Linked DNA regions of Rattus norvegicus. The protein of the gene in region 3 purifies or fractionates together with the protein of the main gene of each other region. This does not show direct contact. Links are inferred from orthologs where the notes say so. Each region holds a gene or a part of one and is shown on either strand. Other genes may lie near its edges.

Region 1 (4,291 bases), on a different chromosome or scaffold from region 3:
GGGATTTTATGAGTATGAAGATGTTACGGACAATGCTTGGCTCACAGCCTGGCACATCGTGAGCACTCAGGATTGAGAGCTGTTATTGTAACAATGATGATTATTGCTGGACCACGCTGCTCCCAGAGGGTTACAATATCCGTGGGGAGCTGCACTGTCCGTAGGCAAGGTTACATAATTCCCCAAAGGGGTGACACTTCCCTGGAGGCCATGGTCTCCCTAAGGAGGAGGCAAGAGACTTCTCTGCGGCACCCGTGAGCTGGTTTAAAGGCTGAATAGGAAACCGGCAATGGAGAAGTTTGGGTTTGAAGCCTTAAGCACCTATAGCCTGAACCAGATAGGCCTTCCCTCTTGCCTGCTGCGTCTCTGATTCATCATCCTTTCAGTCTCCTAGCCCCATATCTCTTCCTTTGGCCACTCCGGTTTATTTTTCATTATTTCCCTGAGAATGTTCAGGCTTAGCTTATGAGAGTATAGCTTCTGTTTCCCCTCTACCCAGCAGCAGCAGGCTGCCTACCTGCATCCGATCGGTACCCCGATTTCCTGTTTCCCGAGCCTCAGGCTCCATCCATTCTTCCCATCTGCTGCAGCGAACGCAGACTTAACACTTCCCCTACGCTCAGGCCTTTGGTCTTAAGCCCTGTCTTCCTCTCTCCTGGCGACCCCCAATGCTCCTCCGGAGCACATTTGTTCAGACTTGGGTCGCCCCCAGCATCCTGGCACTATCTCCGGAACCCCCTGCTCCAGTGTGGAGGTGGGGTACCTCCGGCCGGGCTCCCAGGACAGCTGCAGCCTAGGGACCGTGGTGATTGTGGGGGCTCCCGAATGCATTCTCTGGTCACTTCCTCCGCAGCTGGACTGGGTCTATCAGGAAGGCCAAGACCCCATCTCCACAGGAGTCGAGGGTACAACCGCCTCCCCATTTCCGATGCTGGGAAATGTTTCCCACCCATTCCACCCCACCCCTGGACAGCTGCCCTCTTTCAGGCTCGGGGTTGAGGGGGGTTGGGTAAACTCAGGCTGGGAAATGGCTCTGCTCTTGATCATCCTCCAAGAACCAGACTCCGCCCCCCTGCAGAGAAGATTCTGCCCCTTCCCCACAAAAATTTCTAATCGTCCCCCTTCATAAAATTCCTTTCCTCCAAAAGGTCCCAAAAGAAACTCTGGAGCCAGGAAAGGGCAGAAGAGAGGCAGCAGGTACTGAGCGCTGAAGACTTAAGTTCTTCTGACTTAGAGACTCCAAGAAGGGTCGTGACCCCCAGGACCACCCCCCAGCCCCTCTCTGCCCTCTTCTCCCCTTCCGCCCCCCCAACCCCCCCGCCGCGCGGGCCCTTTAAGCCTAGAGCCGACCGGTCCTCAGTGGCTGCGCGCCGGCAAGCGTGTGTGAGTGCGCGGGAGGGGGCGGGCACAGTGTCTCCATGGCGACGCGGTGGTGACGTCGCCGGCCGGGGGGCGTGGGCGTCCCGGCCCCGGAGTGCGATATTAACCCGGGAGGCGGCGGCGGGGAGGGGAGAGGCTCTGAGAGGCGAGGCCGGGTGCGGCGGCGAGGGCGTCCCAACGGGCGCGGGACGGGACGGGGCAACGCGGGCGCCTGGAGCAGCGGCCCGGAGTCGGGGCGCCTTGCCCCGGGCCCCCCAGCATGAAGACCCCAGCGGACACAGGTGGGGGCGGGGGCAGCACGTGTGGGGGAGACTTGTTGCCCCGGGAAACCGGGAGGAAAAACTTTGGGTGGGGGCTGAAGGGGTTCTGGGGAGCCCGATTGATACCCAGTTCTTGGGGACCCCCAAGCACTCGAGACCTGTTGCTTCTCGCGGCGCGAGCTGGGGTGCTGCCTGGAAGCCCCAATTCCGTGGGTCTTTTCGGAATGGTGTGGGTGCTGCGGGTGCTGTTCTTTCCCTGCCCGGACCGGGCAACCTGGGTTCTCCCGGGATCACTGGGGTGGCAGAGTCCCCTCCCTGTCGTTCTGTCACGTTGCACTCCGGGGGCCGGGACGTGTGCGGGGCGAGGTGGGGGTTCTGCATAGGGACCCGCTATGCTCGGTTCTGCGTTGCGCGGTCCGGCCCGTGACCTTCACGGCGGCGCGTGCCCAGCACCCGGTGAGCGGGATACGGGATGGCCTGGAGCTGGGCGTGAGTGGGGAACACGGGACTCGGGGTCCGGGCTGCACCGCCCCTCCCCCGTCCGTCTCCTCGCTCCCCCGCCCGGACTGAGTCGCAAAGTTCCAAAGCGCAGCCCGAACGTTCGAAAAAGGAACTTTTTGTTTCCGACCTTAGAACGCGCGGCTTTAAGGTGGCTCAGGGGAGACTTGGGTACTCTCCTCCGACGCGGGCGGAGGCTTGGGAGTTGAGGAGGGTGGGAAAGATGGGGGGGGGATGCAGAGGCTCTCTCTTCGTCCTTCCCCCCCTCACCGATTCTGCGCCTCTTTCAGCGGGCCGTCTTTTCCCTCCGCCCCTCTCTTCCCCGCCAAGTTGCTCCTCCTTAAGGGGCCAGGGTTCCCCTCCCCCCCCGATCGCTGGGCGGGGGGCAGCAGGATTAACCCCCCCCTCCCACTCGGACTTTCCCCCTTCCCCTCCCCCGCCGCCCCCGGGCTTGCACAGGCTGGACTTTGCGCCCGGGCGCGCGGGGGGGAGGGGGCCTCGCCGCCCCCTGCCCGTCTGCCCCGTCGGAATCCGGCCCGGGGCGGGGACGAGGGAGGGGGAAGGGGGCCGGGCGCCGCTGTTCAAACTTGTTTCCTTCCCCCGGCGGCGGCCGCGGCTCCGGCTCCTATGTGCGGGTGTGTGCCCCGACCGGCCCACCCACCCCACCTCCCTGCTCGGCGGGTGGGGGCGGCTCTTAAAGGGCTCGGAGCAGGACTCAGGCGCCAGAGGATTGGGGCTGAGGAGGGGGTCGGGGGTGGGGTAGGGGTGCGCAGTGCCGTAGGGTCAGTCACGTGCGTCCCACTTAGTCCCCCACTCCCGGACTCTCACAGGCTCCGGGGCTGCGGGGCCCTGGGGGCAGCAGGAGCCTCGCCTCACCCGGGGAGGGGACCAAGGCGCTCAGACAACCCCGCCTTGTCTTCCCTCTATGTTACGGGCCTTGGCCTGACGGGACCTGTAAGGCCACTGCAACCCTGTCTGGGGTCCCGGTCATGTGTAGATTCTCATGGGAAGGCGGGGGACCAGAACGGCCTCGAGGTCGGTTTGTTTCTCCTGACTGCCGGCCACTGCTCGCCCTTCCATCCGATCCTCCATCCCGGCGTTTCTCTGCTCCGCCGTGGCTGTTTCCCACTTCCTGTTTTCTTCCCGGCTCTGGCGCCATCGAGGTCTGCCTGGAGTGGGGGAGGTGTTGAGGCCCCCCGGGAGGCAGACGTATTTTTCCTCAACCACCACCCCTCCTATCTGACCCCTATATTCCCATAAAAAAGTTTAGGCAGTCATGTTGAGTTGGGGATTGTTTCCCAGAACTTATGCCCCGACCCAGGCTTGCACAGTCTGGGATATCCAGGTGTGCCTTCTGGGACCCAGCCATCATAGCCCTTCCTGTCTGCAGCCACCTCTACACCCTGTCTGCGTTTCTGGAGCCCTCTTTCAGTGTAGCTGCTTTCTTCCAGCCTCTCTGGACCCCCCATGCTGGAGAGGTCTTGCACCCTCAAGCTTTCTTGCTGCAGAGCTGGTGTTTCCGTGATTTAAGCACGTGGACCCGTATACAACACACACATGGTCTCCTTGCCCGTGCCTGGCTCCTGGCTCCAAGGCCTGGGGAACAGAGCCCCATTGAGACACCCTGACGTCACCCCCACTCCGTCCCCTCCCCAAAGCTGGGAACAGGCCCTCGTGTATGCTGTGTCCGATGAGGAAAGCCGGTACTGGGGTGGTGCTGGGTGGGCCTGGCATGAGGAGGGGTCTCTGCCAGAAGTAGCAACCAGGGTCCAGGCCCTGGGGGTGGTGTTTCTCAGGGAAGAAGGTTAGCAAGGGGGCCTGGGACAGCTCCCAGAATGCGGGCTTGAGGCCTTTCCAGAGCCCCCCCACCTCCTTTCCGAGTTCCCTTTGTGTTGCATGTAGTCTCTCTCTCTCACTCCCTCTCTTCTGCAAAGTTTATTTTTAGCCTCCTGCTCCCCCGCTCCCAGGACTGTCGCTGCACACACGTTGCCTGGTTACCGGGACACGGAGGCTGGGGCTGGTGGGCTGGGAAGGGTGGCTTTAGTTTTGGGGGGAGGGTGGAAGTCAGTACACCCCTCCACCTCCACATTGATGTGTTAGGGGCTTCAGCCCCCCTCTTGGGACAGGGAGCCAGATTGGAACTGAGATAGAAT
Region 2 (2,169 bases), on a different chromosome or scaffold from region 3:
CAGTGGTAGAGCGCTTCCCTAGCAAGCGCAAGGCCCTGGGTTCGGTCCCCAGCTCCGAAAAATAGAAAAGAAAAAAAAAAACACACACACACACTGGGATGAGTGGGGTTGTAGTCCTCAGTGTAGCGTAGGGGACCTTCCCACAGTAGCGCCCCTCATCCCACTGTGCGTCTCCCTCACCTGCTCGTGGTGGTTCCTGAAATCCGCCGAGGTCCCTAATCATGTCGCACTTTCTGCCCCAGACGCAGTGAAGGACTGCCGAGGGCGAGTGCTGGTTCACTGCCAGGCCGGCATCTCTAGATCAGCCACCATCTGCCTGGCCTACCTGATGATGAAGAAACGGGTGAGGCTGGAGGAGGCTTTCGAGTTCGTCAAGCAGCGCCGTAGCATCATCTCGCCCAACTTCAGCTTCATGGGCCAGTTGCTGCAGTTCGAGTCTCAGGTGCTCACCACGTCCTGCGCAGCGGAGGCCGCCAGCCCTTCCGGGCCCCTGCGGGAGAGGGGGAAGGCCACTCCCACCCCCACCTCGCAGTTCGTCTTCAGCTTCCCCGTGTCCGTGGGTGTGCACGCGGCTCCCAGTAACCTGCCGTACCTGCACAGCCCCATCACCACCTCCCCCAGCTGTTAGGACTAGTCACGGGACACCGAGTCCAGAGTCGGCCCCAGCCAGTGTGCAAGCCACATGTGAGGAGCGAATAGGGACTGACCAGTGGGGGACCAGGTGACCGTCCCCATCCATTTCTCCTTGGCCGACCACAGGGCCAGCTAGGATGGCAATAACTATGACTTTGAATACACATTTAAAACAAACACAGCTAAACACCCACAGCCTAGAGCAATAAGAGCAGCTTCCGCTGCCAGAGAAGACTTGGATTTTGTGTCCGTTTTTCCTTTGCAGGTAGAAATTTACCTCATTATTATTATTATTATTTTTTAAAGCAATCAAGCTTGAAAGTTATGAAGCCCACAGATCCTGGCAAATGTGCCCAACCAGTTTTATTGAGTGGAGAGGGAAGGAGGAGAAAGTTGAGTTTGCCAGAAAAGTGCCTGGTTCTGTGTGCATATTCTTCTGTTGTTGGACCCACAGCAGTTTTGTTCTAGATCCTTCTAGGCCACAGTATTCTGGTTAGCCGTCAACTGGATAATTGATGTTTAATGAGTATTGAGAACCTGAGCATGTGTGTGTGTGCGTGTGTGTGCAGGAGTCTGGTGGCTTTGGGATATGTTTCTGTTGAGGTCACACACAGAGACACAAAGCTGTGCTGGCGGTGAGGGGAGTGTGGCAGGTAGGTGGTCGCTGGGGTCACCGTCTTTCATCGTTGCCACTGAGAAGCAGGCAGGGTGACTTGCAAGGAACAAGGTTGGTCACTTTTTGCAGCTGGCTCCTGGGCCCACTGACCCAGCCGGGCAAGCTTTTCTCTCTAGTTTGACTGCGGGTAGAGCATTTGGCCTAGGATCTGGATATCGTCTGGGGAAATGCCATCTTTTCTAAGGTGCTCCTGGAAAACTGGGTGCAATTCAGATTTTCCTACCGTGAATCATTTTGGTAAGGCCAGCTCAGAACCAGATCACTGAAGATGAACTAAAAATGAATCTCCTCTTGGCGTTGATCTCCTCCCTCCCTCGGATAAATTGGGCGTTTCAGTTCTAGGAGTTTACTTGAAGTATACATACCAAGAAATTCTTGTTACGAAATCCCTGTCAAGTGAATACTTTGAAAAGTCCTCCCTCTTTTGAGTAAAAAGATAAGTGTATGTCTGACTTGGGGCTCCTTACGGTCTGGAAGGGAGAGAGCAGAGTTGGGGGGCTGCGTGCTAGCTCCTATCTTACTGATAGTGACTCAGAAGCCATGTTGGGTTCTGACTGGGCCAACACCATTTTAAAAGAGCCTTTCCAAGTGGAGGAAAGGCATTGGAGTGTGTTTTCTAGGGGGAAGGTGCAGGGTGGGGAGGGAACCTGTTTCGTCTGTAGTTTTGGGGGACAGTTTTGTGACGGCATGTCAGATTAGATAGAGGTCACTGCAGACCTGGCAGAAATGAGCACGGTCCCGCCCCCCTCCCCCACTTTGAGCATAAATATAAAACTACAAGTGTCCACGTTACATCATGATGGAATGCTTTCTCATCCAGAGTCCCAGACAGCCCGGGCTCATGGTTTTTCCGTCCATGA
Region 3 (4,255 bases):
AGGACTTCTTAAACTCCGTTGAGTTTTTTGATTGTTTTTTTTTGTTTTGTTTTTGTTTTTGTTTGTTTGTTTTTTGCTTTTTTTGTTTTTTGGTTTTTTTTTTTTTTTTTTTGAGACTCTTGGCTATCCTGGAACTCATTCTGTAGACCAGGCTGGCCTCCCATTCTTAAGAGATCTGCCCCACTCTGCCTCACAAGTGGTACATGTGAGGCACCACACTGACTTGCTCCTTTCAGTTTTTTACCTTATTGTTTAAGGAGTTACCCCTCCGGATAGAATGTTTCAATCCTTCAGGAAAGTGTTACACAGCACCTGAATCCAAGTCCCGGAATTTCACTGTCTTTCTCCAGCGTCCCCACCCACAGCTCTTTATATTTTCCCTTGGCTTTTTATTTCTTCACAACACTTAAGTGCAAATATTGTATTTTGCCTGTCTTTTCACTCTGGAAACATGGCTGGCTCCAATGCTATAGGTATTAAGCAAATTTTCTTGAAGAAACCTCTAATTAGGGGATTCAATGTCTTGTGTTTTGGTTTCTACTTATTTATGTCTCACACTGTTAGGTGTGCGTCACCAGTAAGAAGGTAGATATACGTAGTTAGTATAAGAAAAGTTATATTTTATTATGCTGAAGGTCATCATGCAAGGTTTACACTCTAAACTCCTTACATTCCTAAGCCTGTCTTCCCAAGGCTGTTCACCTGTGTGACCTATCTTAGCTTCAGGTCAGGTCTAATCTCTAACAGAAGTCTCTGATTTGAGGGTCAGGATTCTGAGGGAGATTCTCTAGCCACAGAACAGATCAAGGTGCATCTCTCCAGATACGTAGAGCAAAGCATTGCTTTTGGTCTCTGCTTATATTTTGTCCAGTAGGCATCATGGGATTCTAGGACTATGTCATCTCCATGTCACTGGGCTCTGGGTATCAGGAGCAGCCTTAGGTACTGTAGGGTTCCTGACTAATCTGTTTTTATATGTCCAAAAGGCATCTTTTTTATTTATTATTCTCATTACAGGGTGAAAATATTTTTCTGGGTCTGGGTCATCTTTTTGGTTTCTGTCCCACTCTGACGGTCTAAGTGCATAAGAGTGCAGAATGTGGGCCACGTATTCCTAGAGGCCTGTCTGTCTCAGGGGTCCCGTGGCTGGTGTGCAGTGAGTCCTCTGGTCTCAAGTCCCTGGTCCCGCGCGAGTTCGTTCTGGACCAGGTACAGTGGTGGGACTCTGTGGGGTCATTATGCCTAAGTTCCAATCTAGCTTTCTAGAGCTACCCAGCCCTTAGCTTTCTGAACGCACGTGACGTCCCTCCCCCGCAGCCGCAGTGCTCCTGGCTTACTTCGCTGCTTCCGCCGGCCCGCGAGACTCCGCCCTCTCTGAGGGGAGAAGCCAATCATCACGCACGCCCTTGACTCCGCCCTAGCGCCCCTCGACGCGAGTCCTTCCCTCCTCCCACTCGCTGCCCGCCCGCCCGTCAGGCAGGAAGGCAGGCAGTGGTTCTACCGGCGGTTAGTTCTCTCTTCTGTGTTGTCCTCCCTCCTCGTTCCCGATCGCCGCCAGCGGCTGCTACACGGGCGGCGGCGCGGTTCCTGTGGGAAGCGCAGCACAAGTCGAGCGGTAACCGCGAAGCGTCGAGCCCAACGCGGCGGAGGCTGTGCAGCCAACATGGCGGCGGCGGCGGCGGCGGGCCCGGAGATGGTCCGCGGGCAGGTGTTCGACGTGGGGCCGCGCTACACTAATCTCTCGTACATCGGAGAAGGCGCCTACGGCATGGTTTGGTAAGTGTCTGCGCTGGTTTGCAGGCCCGGCCTCACGCGGTCATCCTGTGCCCCCTGCCTATGGCTGATCTGGACGCAGCTGCGGCCTTTCCCGCGCCTTGGCCTCGCGGTCCGCGGCGCCCCCGGACCCGTGGCTTCTCCTTGGCCCGCACTCCTGGGGCCCTGGGGCGGGGTCCCGGGGGCCCTTTCGAGGTTTAAGTGTTGCTCTGCTGCTTCCTGAGCTGACCCTTCGTTTGCTGTTGGAAGGGCATCTCAGACCGAGGCCAGGACTCGAAGACTCCCGGGCTTGGTCTCGAGCGCGTACTTTCGAGGCTTCTCCCTTGGGTCGGGAACGGAAGTGCACCATGTCCCCTAGTTCATAGCGTTATAGCCGCCGCCTTTTGACATTAGATTAAAACTAGGAATTCCATTAGATGCATGTCCGTGGTGGTGGCGGCGGCAATGGTTTTGCAAGACGGAATAATGGGCTTGTGTGCTGAGCACCAAAATATTTTTATTCTCTCTGTGTACGTGAACAGCATTCACAAAATATCTTCAGTAGAGCTAATGATGCGTTCTACCTCAGGCTTTCTAAAAAACAATGACACAGCGTTGGTTGTGGATATACTGAAATCTTGAAGTTTCAAAATGGATTTAAATATCATACCGATTGTGTTTCAGGAAGGATAAACCAGCATCACTCTTAGAATTATTAAGATGTATTTGGAGTTAGGCCTAACTCCAAATTTGACTTTAAATTACCCCGTCGTTACCCTCAAAAGTACATGTGAATGTATCCATAGGTATTAGCCCTATTTACTGTGGTCGTTTCCCTAACGTTTTAGTGTTCACTATATATACACAACCACTTACAGTACTTTCTGCTTGTGGAATGAAGTGTATTGTTTTAATTAAAGCAAGTTCATTTATCGAAGGTTTCTGAGGTAGTTAATTTTACTTGGATAGCCATCTTGAAGAAAGAGAAGACACCCTTTTTCAGATAAGGTATTGAAAGGAAGTCTTTTTCCCAAGGGTGAAGAACTAGAATCATGCTTTCTATATATAGAAAGATCCTGGTTTAAATGCTTCAGCTCCTCAGCTATGATTGCACACGCCTTTCCTTGATTTATTAATAATTTCAGAACTTCAGCATATTTTCCTGATGAACAAGTCTATTTCAGAAATGCATTCAAATTTGAATGGTCATAATTTTAGAAATGCCAAGAAAGATGTGTTTTCACCAAGTGTGTTAACTAGGTAGAATAATTAACTTTCCTTTTTAAAGGACCGGAGAATAGTTATATTCTTATGAGCAAAATGTTTCATAGTATACAATTATGAAGGTAAAAGTGAACTGGACCTGCGAGTCAAAGGGGAAATTAAATTTAGGTCACGGTTACAAGAAAGTCTTTGTAAAGGAATGGGGAAAAATTACTTTCCACATCACATCTGTCTTGCATGTATTACTGCCCTTGCACTTGCTGGTAAGTATGCCAGTAACTCTTATTATTGACACTCAAATGATTACCCACCATAGTCTCATTTATTTAAAAAAAAAAAAAGAATAAAAAAGCTTACTTTAAATAGAGACAAAAAAATTTAGGACCACCTTAATAAGATGGATTGTTTAGATCCTGTTGCTATTGACCTTTGAAGTTTCCGCTTGCTGTGCAGAATTCTTTTTAAAATTCACATTTTAGGGGTGGAGAGATGACTCAGCAGTTAAGAGCACTGGCTGCTCTGGGTTCGATTCCAATGACAGCCTAGTCTGTAATTATAGTTCCAGAAGATGAGATGTTCTCTTAAGTCATGCATTTAAGCAAGACATTCATATGCATAAAATAAATAAAACTAATTAATTTTTTAAGACAAGGTTTCTCTGTGTAATCACCCTGGCTATCCTGGAACTCAATTTGTAGATGAGGCTGGCACCTACAAATTTTAATTTTAAGAAAAATACAAATATAATTGAAATTTAAATCCAAGCATCAGCCTCTTATCTCCAGATAATGTATCTTAGTATTTATTTAATATTCTTAATTGTGTGTCATTATCATCTGATTATTGCTGAGTTTATGGCAGCTTCTCAGCTTAAGTATCCACTTGAATAGTGATCTTTAAAAGCTGGAAAGACGGGGTTGGGGATTTAGCTCAGTGGCCCTGGGTTCGGTCCCCAGCTCCGAAAAAAAGAAAAAAAAAAAAAAGCTGGAAAGACGGCATAGTGGTTGAGTACCTGCTGCTTTTGCAGGACCTAAGCTCAGATCCCTGCATCTGTGTTACGTGACACTACCACCCACCACCTACTGCACCCCTCCTTCCAAGGGCATCTACACACATGTGGTCCAACGAAGACTCACTAGGGTACACACCCTGGAAACTGATTTAAGAATAACTCTTTAAAAAAATTACTTGGGGGTTGGGGATTTAGCTCAGTGGTAGAGCGCTTGCCTAGGAAGCACAAGGCCCTGGGTTCGGTCCCCAGCTCCGAAAAAAAGACCAA
Region 4 (3,335 bases), on a different chromosome or scaffold from region 3:
GTGCTGCATTTAAAGACAGAGTCCTACCACACCCAGTTAGAGTCCCAAGCTTCGAGAACTGTCTGTTTGCTCTTTGTTTTCTTTTTCCAAAAAGAAGAGGGTGAAAATAGAAACCACTATCAGATGTTTAGTAGATTCTTCTTTCTCAAATCTAAGGGTGGTTCAAGATTTGCAGAACAGCTCAACATTGAAAGAAGCAGAAATTAAAGAAATCACATCTTCATATCTTGAGAAAATAACTGATTTGCAAAATCAACTCAGACAACAAAATGAAGACTTTAGGAAGCAGCTGGAAGAGGAAGGGGCAAAGTAAGTCAGGCTGGACCTTAAATGCTATGGAACATGGTTTTTCCTAGTAAATTGAAAAAGATAATTCAATTTTAAATTTAATTTTCCCATACAGAATGACAGAGAAAGAAACTGCAGTGACAGAATTAACCATGGAAATTAATAAATGGCGTCTCCTATATGAAGAACTGTATGACAAAACTAAACCTTTTCAGGTTTGTGGCTTGTTATTAAACTTACTTGTGGGCTGGATCTGAAGTTAAGATATTGCCTCCTCTTCCAGAGGTTCAGTTCCTGGGCTCAATTCCCTGTAACCACATGGTGGTTCCAGACTGGCTATAACTCCAGTTTCAGGCCATCCAACAACTTTTCAGGCTTTCTGGGCGCCATGTTGCCCAGACATAAGTGTAGACAAAACACCCATACGCCTAAAAAAAAAGTTAAATAAAATAAAAATAGATAAATAAACTTATTGTGATCTGTTTTCAGAATGTATTTCTTCCATGAGTCTTGAGCTCAGCTACCACTGAGTAAGTGTGCTTGGCACGTACAGTTCCCAGAGATACACAAAAAGTAAAGCCATAAAAAACGGGCATTTTGTATTACTATTTATCATTTTCCCAGCCAACTGACAAATTTACCTGACACTAAATTTTAATGTGATGGTATAATATAAAAAATGCTTTCTAATCAACAATTTGAAATTAGTGATCCTGAAAACTCTCCTGGTAGGAACATCAATCATTTACCTGTTATTTTGTGATGTGTATTTCGGTATGATCCATCCCAGCATTTCTCCAGTCACTGTAGTGATATTTGCGTTGTATGTTATCCTTTGGTTTAAAGACAAGGTATTGCTATAGAATCCAAGCTGCCTGGTGCTCACTGTGCCAAGCCTGGGATCTGAAGTGTTCCTTCTTCTACTCCCCAAGTGCTAGCATTAGGAACATCAGCCTCTGTGCCTGACTAGCTTTCCCCTTGAGATTCTAGGCTGGAATGTTCTCTGGAGCTGAATTTGTGCTTGAATTCCTGACCTCTTGCTTCTGCCTCCTGAATGCTGAATTTATGGCCACAGATCATCACACATGACAATCCCCTAAGCTCTTTAAAGAGAAAGGAGCCAGGTGTGGTGGTAGCACACACCTTTAGTCCCAGCACTCAGGAGGCAGACGCAAGTGGTGTTACTTGAGTTTAACAACAGCCTGGTTCTAAGTTCTTGGACAGCCAGGACTGTAGTGAGACTCTTTTTTTTTTTTTAAATCTAGAAACACGCAAACAAGCCTACAAACAAAAGGAAGGTCTAATTGGAATGGAAGCAGATGTTGAAAAAGTTTAGTCCAAGCATGACCACAAATGCTTATGCTGCTGTGAGGCAGGAGCAGAGGGTGCACAAGTTCAGCAAGCTAGTCTTGGTTTCAGTACTGATATATGCTAATTCATCTTTTCCAGCAACAACTGGATGCCTTCGAAGCAGAGAAGCAGGCACTGTTGAATGAACATGGTGCAACTCAGGAGCAGCTAAGTAAAATCAGAGACTCCTACGCACAGCTGCTTGGCCACCAGAATCTGAAGCAAAAAATCAAACATGTCGTGAAATTGAAAGATGAAAACAGCCAGCTCAAATCGGTTTGTAAAATAACACCCATATTCAGATATGCTAAAACCAAAGATACTGACCAGTTTATAGAGGCCAATTCTTCTGAGAGCTAACGGACTTACTTAGTGTTAACCAGATAGTGTAGGTTGATATCATTATGCAGGCGAAGGCAGATGCAGGGTAGAACGAGGCTGTTGTTGGACAAGAAGGAAGGGTGGGTGGGAAGTAAGATTTACAGAGGCAGAGGGGACCTGAGCATGGGGGCTGGCAGCCAAGAGAACATGGCGGATGTTAAGATTCCTCTCTGTACACTCACAGGTTATTACGACTGTTCTTAAGGGGTGGATGTGTACAGGATTTTGTGTTGTCTAGATGGGCAAATTGCATCTTATCTGGGTGGATGGCTTATATCCTTATCGATTGGTTGTAAGTTTATTGTGTACATATATTGTGGATTGAGAATGTAACGTGTAAATCTAGTTGCTAAATTACAAGTTTCTGGAACTTTGATTACCAGGCTAAAGAGGACAGTGTGTGACAGAAATGGCTAAAAGGCAGTTGGAACACGCGGATCTGCCTACGTGGAGTGAGAATGCACAGGGTCTGCAGAACGAGGGGTGTGTGTGTGTGTGTGTGTGTGTGTGTGTGTGTGTGTGTGTGTGTGTGTGTGTGTGTGTGATGCATAGTAACTACCTCCTAGGGGACCGCACAAGAGGACTGCTAAAAGGGAGACAGCCAGAGTGAGCGACTTGCAGACCGTGTGATAAAGTAGCAGCTGGAATGGGTGGATCCAGCTCATGGGAACTAATAGAAAATGTTCGTTTTTTAATTTTTACCACAACTACTTAGTTTTTTACTTAGTTTTATAATGGCTGAGAAGTTAGAAACTATAAAATTTTACACGTTCATTTCTATTTACAAAATAGCCATTCCTTTTTCTAACTACTATGAAGATAAGTAGTATTCAAAAGAATGATTATTTAATTTCTCTTTCCTTTTAGAAAGTCAGTTTATATTTTATTTTTGGCATACATTATACAAAACAATGGGTTATATTACCTGAGATATGGGTGTTTATAGTATGTTGATTTTGATTCTTCCTGGTTTATACCAGAAGCTGTAAACTGGACCCAGTAGTAGTGTTAATTTTCAGTTTTGAAGAGCTTCGATACTGACTTGCTTAGGTCCTGGTAAAAAGAGCCTGGCCATCCTCCGTCAGCAGAAGCCCTTGGCACTCACACATCTCCAGTCCAGTTTTGAGATTTTATAAGAACGCAGTTCCCCTATGGACGGGTCAGCAGAAAGGCAGTCCACTTTGTACAACTGAGAGGACAAGGGTTGCAAGCCATCTTGGGATGGAACCTGTTGTTAAAACTAAACTACCATGGAGGCTGTGAATGGGAAACAATCCCAAGTCAGGGAGCCTGAAGTTAGCCTGGCACAGCTCCCT
Region 5 (4,177 bases), on a different chromosome or scaffold from region 3:
TCCAGACAGCTTTATGTGGGATCCAGCTCAAAAACCCCATCACTGGTGGGGGTAGTAAAAAAGGAAGGTGGGTCTGAGACAGTGGACTCTGGCCCCCCACTGCCCCTCCCACCAGAGCGCTTCTCCCCCAGGCGCAGGCTGCGTTCAAAGTCTAGCAGTTGCCCCATAAAGTTGAAGTTAGGTGAGATGTTAGACTTCTTCCGCTTGACCAAGTCGTAGGCATCGTTGAGTGAGAGGTTAAGCTTCTGCATGAGGTAGGCCACGGTGACAGTGACAGAGCGGCTGACCCCTGCCAGACAGTGGACGAGCACCCCACAGTTCTGTGACAAGGCCTCATCTAGGTAGAACAGGAAAGAACAGAAACACCCCCTAAGGGTCACCATGAGTGAGGCCAAAGCTAAGTGAATTTCTGGGGTCATCATCGTTGTCTCCCCACCCTGCTTAGAGCATATCTGGGAGGTCTCACTGGTAGCTAACCTGAGCTCTACCCCCACCTCCCCAAGTGTCACATGTGCTCTGGGAATGCAGAGAGTAAGGAGGAGGTGGCCAGGAATCAGTCTGGTGGGTGGATAGAGTGGGCTGGGGGAGGGGTAGGGAGGACTCACCTATGAATGCAATGGCCTCCGGAAAGAACTGAGACAGATTCTGGCTCCAATGATCAGAGATGGGGATCTGCTTGTAGTGGAAGTCACCATTCTTCTCAAAGAGGTTAGGAAGGTTAGGGGTGACATTGAGGATATAGCGGATGCCAAGCTTGGCAAGGCTTTCCAAATTGGCTGAATCGCGAGCACTGCCTAGGTAGAGATTGGGCAGGATCTGGGCTGGGAAGGGTGGTAGCAGCCCAGCTGGAGGGGATGTGGTGCTCTCAGAATCTAGGCCACAGCTCAAGGTGTCTCGGTCAGCCTCGGACTCTGCATCAGAGAAATCAGTGCTCAAGCACAGGCCACCAAGCCCTACCACAGGCACTGGGCTAGACATTGAGCCCAGGCCTGAGCCAGCGCGACCACTGAAGCTGGTTTCACACAGGTGAGGACACTCGGCCTGGAATTTGCTGAAGCCGCCTGTCAGGAAAAAAGGGTGAGGTCTTACTAACATGCCTTCCTGGCAGCCAGGTATCCCTGGCCTATACAGCTCCCCGGATTGGGGGTTGCAGATATTGCTAAGGGGAACACATAAGCCAGCAGATTCCTTACACGTGCTATGCTATGGACACCCATCCACCCTCGCTCAGCATGGCAAGTGCCCAATGCAGCCCTTAGTCCCGGGGCAATAGCCTGTGACCCAGGTTGTTTCAGATCAATTCTCCCCATTTTCCAGATTTATAAATGGGCTTGGAGGGATGAAGGACTTGCCCAAGGTCATGCTCATCTCCCCACCTCCAAAAGCTCTCCAGCAGCTTATTGGAGGGAGGCCCTTACCCTATATTTTAGACAAAATAAGACTGAGTTTGCCGAAGGTTAAATTAATTATGAACTCCCCTTGGAAAGAAGGACCTTTTCTCCCGACCTGAGGCCTCTCCAGAGCGCTCTCTCTCAGACCACTGACCCTCACTTACCCTGTAGGTAGTATGCTGGGTAGCCTTCTTCCCGCAGCTTCTGGAGCAGGATGCCCAGCACCGAGTCAGCATCCCACTCTTCAGCTTCCTCTTTAGCCTCGGCTTTGGCCTCCGCTTCGGCCTCGGCTTTGGCCTCCGCTTCGGCCTCGGCTTTGGCCTCCGCTTCGGCCTTAGCTTCAGCCTCCGTTGCTTCGGGCTGACACTGGCCACTACCCTGGTCATAGAGGATCACAGGGGCCGGTGGCGGAGGCTGCACCGGTGGCCCAGGCAAGAGCGACCGCACCAACATGCTCCCTCTCCGCAGGCGGCGCAGCATCAGCGAGGGCAGGGCCACGCTCAGCGCCCCGCAGATGCGCGCCGACTCATACAGCTCCCGGCTGCGGCAGTCCAGTATCAGAAGCTGTGGGCGCGGGGACGACAGCTCCTGACGCAGCCACAGGCATGACCGACTCAGACTCTCCATGGTCGCGCAGCGTCCTGCACGTCGGGCAGCGGGCGCTGTGGAGAGAGTCAAGGCGCGGGGTGAGGGCAAGTTTTCTCTACTCCCGCAGCGTGGACCAGGCTACTGAGGCGGGAAGTCAACCCCTGTCCTGAGGGAAGGCGCTCAGTGTCCCCGCAGGGACATTCCTCTACCGCCTGCTTCTCTCCTCGCGCTCCACCCACAGTGAGAACACCAAGGAAGGCGCCCCGGGAAAAAGACCCGAGGCTGCCGCCACTTGGGCGCTGTTCCCTGCCCCGCTTAACACATGGAGTTTCAAGAGATATACCCCAGAAGATAGCTAGGCGTCTAGCGGCCTCTTGAATGAAGGCATTTTCTGAGGTGCTAGGAGGACTAAAACCAGTTCCCTCCACACCCCTTTTCTGACTTTCTCATTTACTCTGATCTCCATCACTCCCCAAGTTCGATTTTGGATGGGTGGAGAAGTTGGGTTCAAGGCCCGGCTCTCCTCTCTAGCCGGGAAGACCCAGAGAACAAGAGGGTCACCGAGGTGATGGGCCTCGGCGAGTCCCGTCCCGTAAGAGCTGACTCGGCCCCACTCCTACCCACCCCAGGAGAGAACAAAAGGAGAGACCTGGAGCGAGATCCAGAGGCAGGCGGCCAAACGCGGACGTCCTCACCACAGCTAGTGCCAAGGCAGGGCGCAGGTATCGTTCATGGAGACGGAGTCCCCAGGCTCCGGCGCTCAGAGAGGGCGGGGTGGTGGAGCAGGCTCGCACGTGGAAGCCAAGCCTCGCGCCACTCGTGCGCTGGCCGCTTCCTGGCTGCCGGATCCAGATTCCACCTTGGAAGGCTCTGCCTTCGGACGGACTAAGTAGCAGCTCAAAGGGGCGGGACGGGGCGGGGCGGTGGGGCGGTCTCAGGGGGCAGGCGAGCCAACCAGTGCTAACGAATAGCCTGGTGGGAGTTGCAAACCTCAAGCTGAGCTAGGGCTTCCACCCAGGCGGGACAGGGTCGGGGCAGAGGCCAAGGGCAGGTCGGGGGCCCAGCAGGGGACATGTTGCAGTTGCCCCTGCTTGGCGCCAGTCTGGTCCCTGGAAGCAGGAAGAGGGGTGGGGACAAAAGCCCAGAGCCCCAGAACCAGAAACTGTCTCGAACAACTCAACAATCCTGATCTGGAACTAGATGGCCCCCATCTGTATAATGGGCTAATCGGAGCCTTCTAAAGTGTTCTACTGTGAGATGCCACTAAAAAACTGAAGTGACAAGGCAGTTCCCGGGTGCGCTATTTCCATCTGGGCTTCATTTGTACAGGTCTAGCTAAAGGTACGCAGGAATTCTGAGCACTCGACTTTAAACTGAGACACTGTGCTCTTATCAGGTGAAGGCGGGCGCCTCCCCATAACATCTTTCCCATAACCCCCTGGATGGATCCACGTGGAGGGAAGTAGTTTTACTGCAATATGTCCCTATCCCCATGCTCCTTCTGGCTTTTGCAGTGGTCATGACTATACATGTCAGTGTCCCAGTTTCTGAAACTTCAGCTTGTCTCCACCCTGCCCCATTCCAGAGCACTATTCAGTCCACAAAGGCTAGTGGCCTCCAACCAGCCCATCAGACAGGTAATGAACAGGAAAGACACACAAGGGCTCTCCTTGCCTGGGTCTTCCAGTCCAGCAGGACACACCAACAATAAGCAAAGGCACTGGACCAGATATCGGGGTGATAAGTGCTGACAATGAAAGGAGAGGCAGGGGAGGCTTCTAAAAAAGCCCCATTTGGCCATGTGTCCTTTCTCTGCTAAAAGCCCAAGAAAAGCAAATAACAGCGTTAAAGGAAAACACACAACAGATAAGATAAAGCTCGCACAAAATAATCAAAGGGTTAAGACCCCGTAGATAAATGGGTAAGGAACTCAAGGACTGCATACTCTGCCCGAAGGAAGGAATGTGATGGGGTAAGAATATTTGGGGAAAGGTTGAAGCTCAGGCAGGGAAGGAAAGCCAATTCAAAAAAAAAAAAATAAGGAAATACTTCCCAGTCACGACATTAGTAGAATGTTCTCAAAATGAGACCGCCAAGAGTTGGCAAGGTTGCTGTGAAACACATGTGGTGTTCTTATCCTAGGAGGGATTTTGTTTTGGTAGCACCATTTTGGAAATAGTGTAGCAATATGCATCAAG

Evidence for each region.
Region 1: the proteins of Mapk1 (region 3) and Erf purify together in Homo sapiens (co-immunoprecipitation; 3 studies listed by BioGRID and IntAct, with this or other methods). This does not show direct contact. The link is inferred for Rattus norvegicus from reciprocal best matches to the Homo sapiens genes MAPK1 and ERF.
Region 2: the proteins of Mapk1 (region 3) and Dusp4 purify together in Homo sapiens (affinity purification with mass spectrometry; 6 studies listed by BioGRID and IntAct, with this or other methods). This does not show direct contact. The link is inferred for Rattus norvegicus from reciprocal best matches to the Homo sapiens genes MAPK1 and DUSP4.
Region 4: the proteins of Mapk1 (region 3) and Hmmr purify together in Homo sapiens (affinity purification with mass spectrometry; 4 studies listed by BioGRID and IntAct, with this or other methods). This does not show direct contact. The link is inferred for Rattus norvegicus from reciprocal best matches to the Homo sapiens genes MAPK1 and HMMR.
Region 5: the proteins of Mapk1 (region 3) and Dusp9 purify together in Homo sapiens (affinity purification with mass spectrometry; 5 studies listed by BioGRID and IntAct, with this or other methods). This does not show direct contact. The link is inferred for Rattus norvegicus from reciprocal best matches to the Homo sapiens genes MAPK1 and DUSP9.

The regions. Positions count from the first base shown.
Region 1 is NC_086019.1:89,963,401-89,967,691, reverse strand, and holds the start of Erf (ETS domain-containing transcription factor ERF), read left to right. Parts: upstream 1-1,478; 5' UTR 1,479-1,639; coding exon 1,640-1,661; intron 1,662-4,291. UniProt on the Homo sapiens protein: Potent transcriptional repressor that binds to the H1 element of the Ets2 promoter. May regulate other genes involved in cellular proliferation.
Region 2 is NC_086034.1:64,081,532-64,083,700, reverse strand, and holds part of Dusp4 (dual specificity protein phosphatase 4), read left to right. Parts: intron 1-242; coding exon 243-628; 3' UTR 629-2,169. UniProt on the Homo sapiens protein: Regulates mitogenic signal transduction by dephosphorylating both Thr and Tyr residues on MAP kinases ERK1 and ERK2.
Region 3 is NC_086029.1:97,525,020-97,529,274, reverse strand, and holds the start of Mapk1 (mitogen-activated protein kinase 1), read left to right. Parts: upstream 1-1,449; 5' UTR 1,450-1,663; coding exon 1,664-1,776; intron 1,777-4,255. UniProt on the Homo sapiens protein: Serine/threonine kinase which acts as an essential component of the MAP kinase signal transduction pathway. MAPK1/ERK2 and MAPK3/ERK1 are the 2 MAPKs which play an important role in the MAPK/ERK cascade.
Region 4 is NC_086028.1:25,638,066-25,641,400, reverse strand, and holds part of Hmmr (hyaluronan-mediated motility receptor), read left to right. Parts: intron 1-156; coding exon 157-309; intron 310-403; coding exon 404-503; intron 504-1,737; coding exon 1,738-1,914; intron 1,915-3,335. UniProt on the Homo sapiens protein: Receptor for hyaluronic acid (HA). Involved in cell motility. When hyaluronan binds to HMMR, the phosphorylation of a number of proteins, including PTK2/FAK1 occurs.
Region 5 is NC_086039.1:156,501,871-156,506,047, reverse strand, and holds the start of Dusp9 (dual specificity protein phosphatase 9), read right to left. Parts: upstream 2,812-4,177; 5' UTR 2,629-2,811; intron 2,054-2,628; 5' UTR 2,019-2,053; coding exon 1,556-2,018; intron 1,062-1,555; coding exon 606-1,061; intron 338-605; coding exon 12-337; 3' UTR 1-11. UniProt on the Homo sapiens protein: Inactivates MAP kinases. Has a specificity for the ERK family.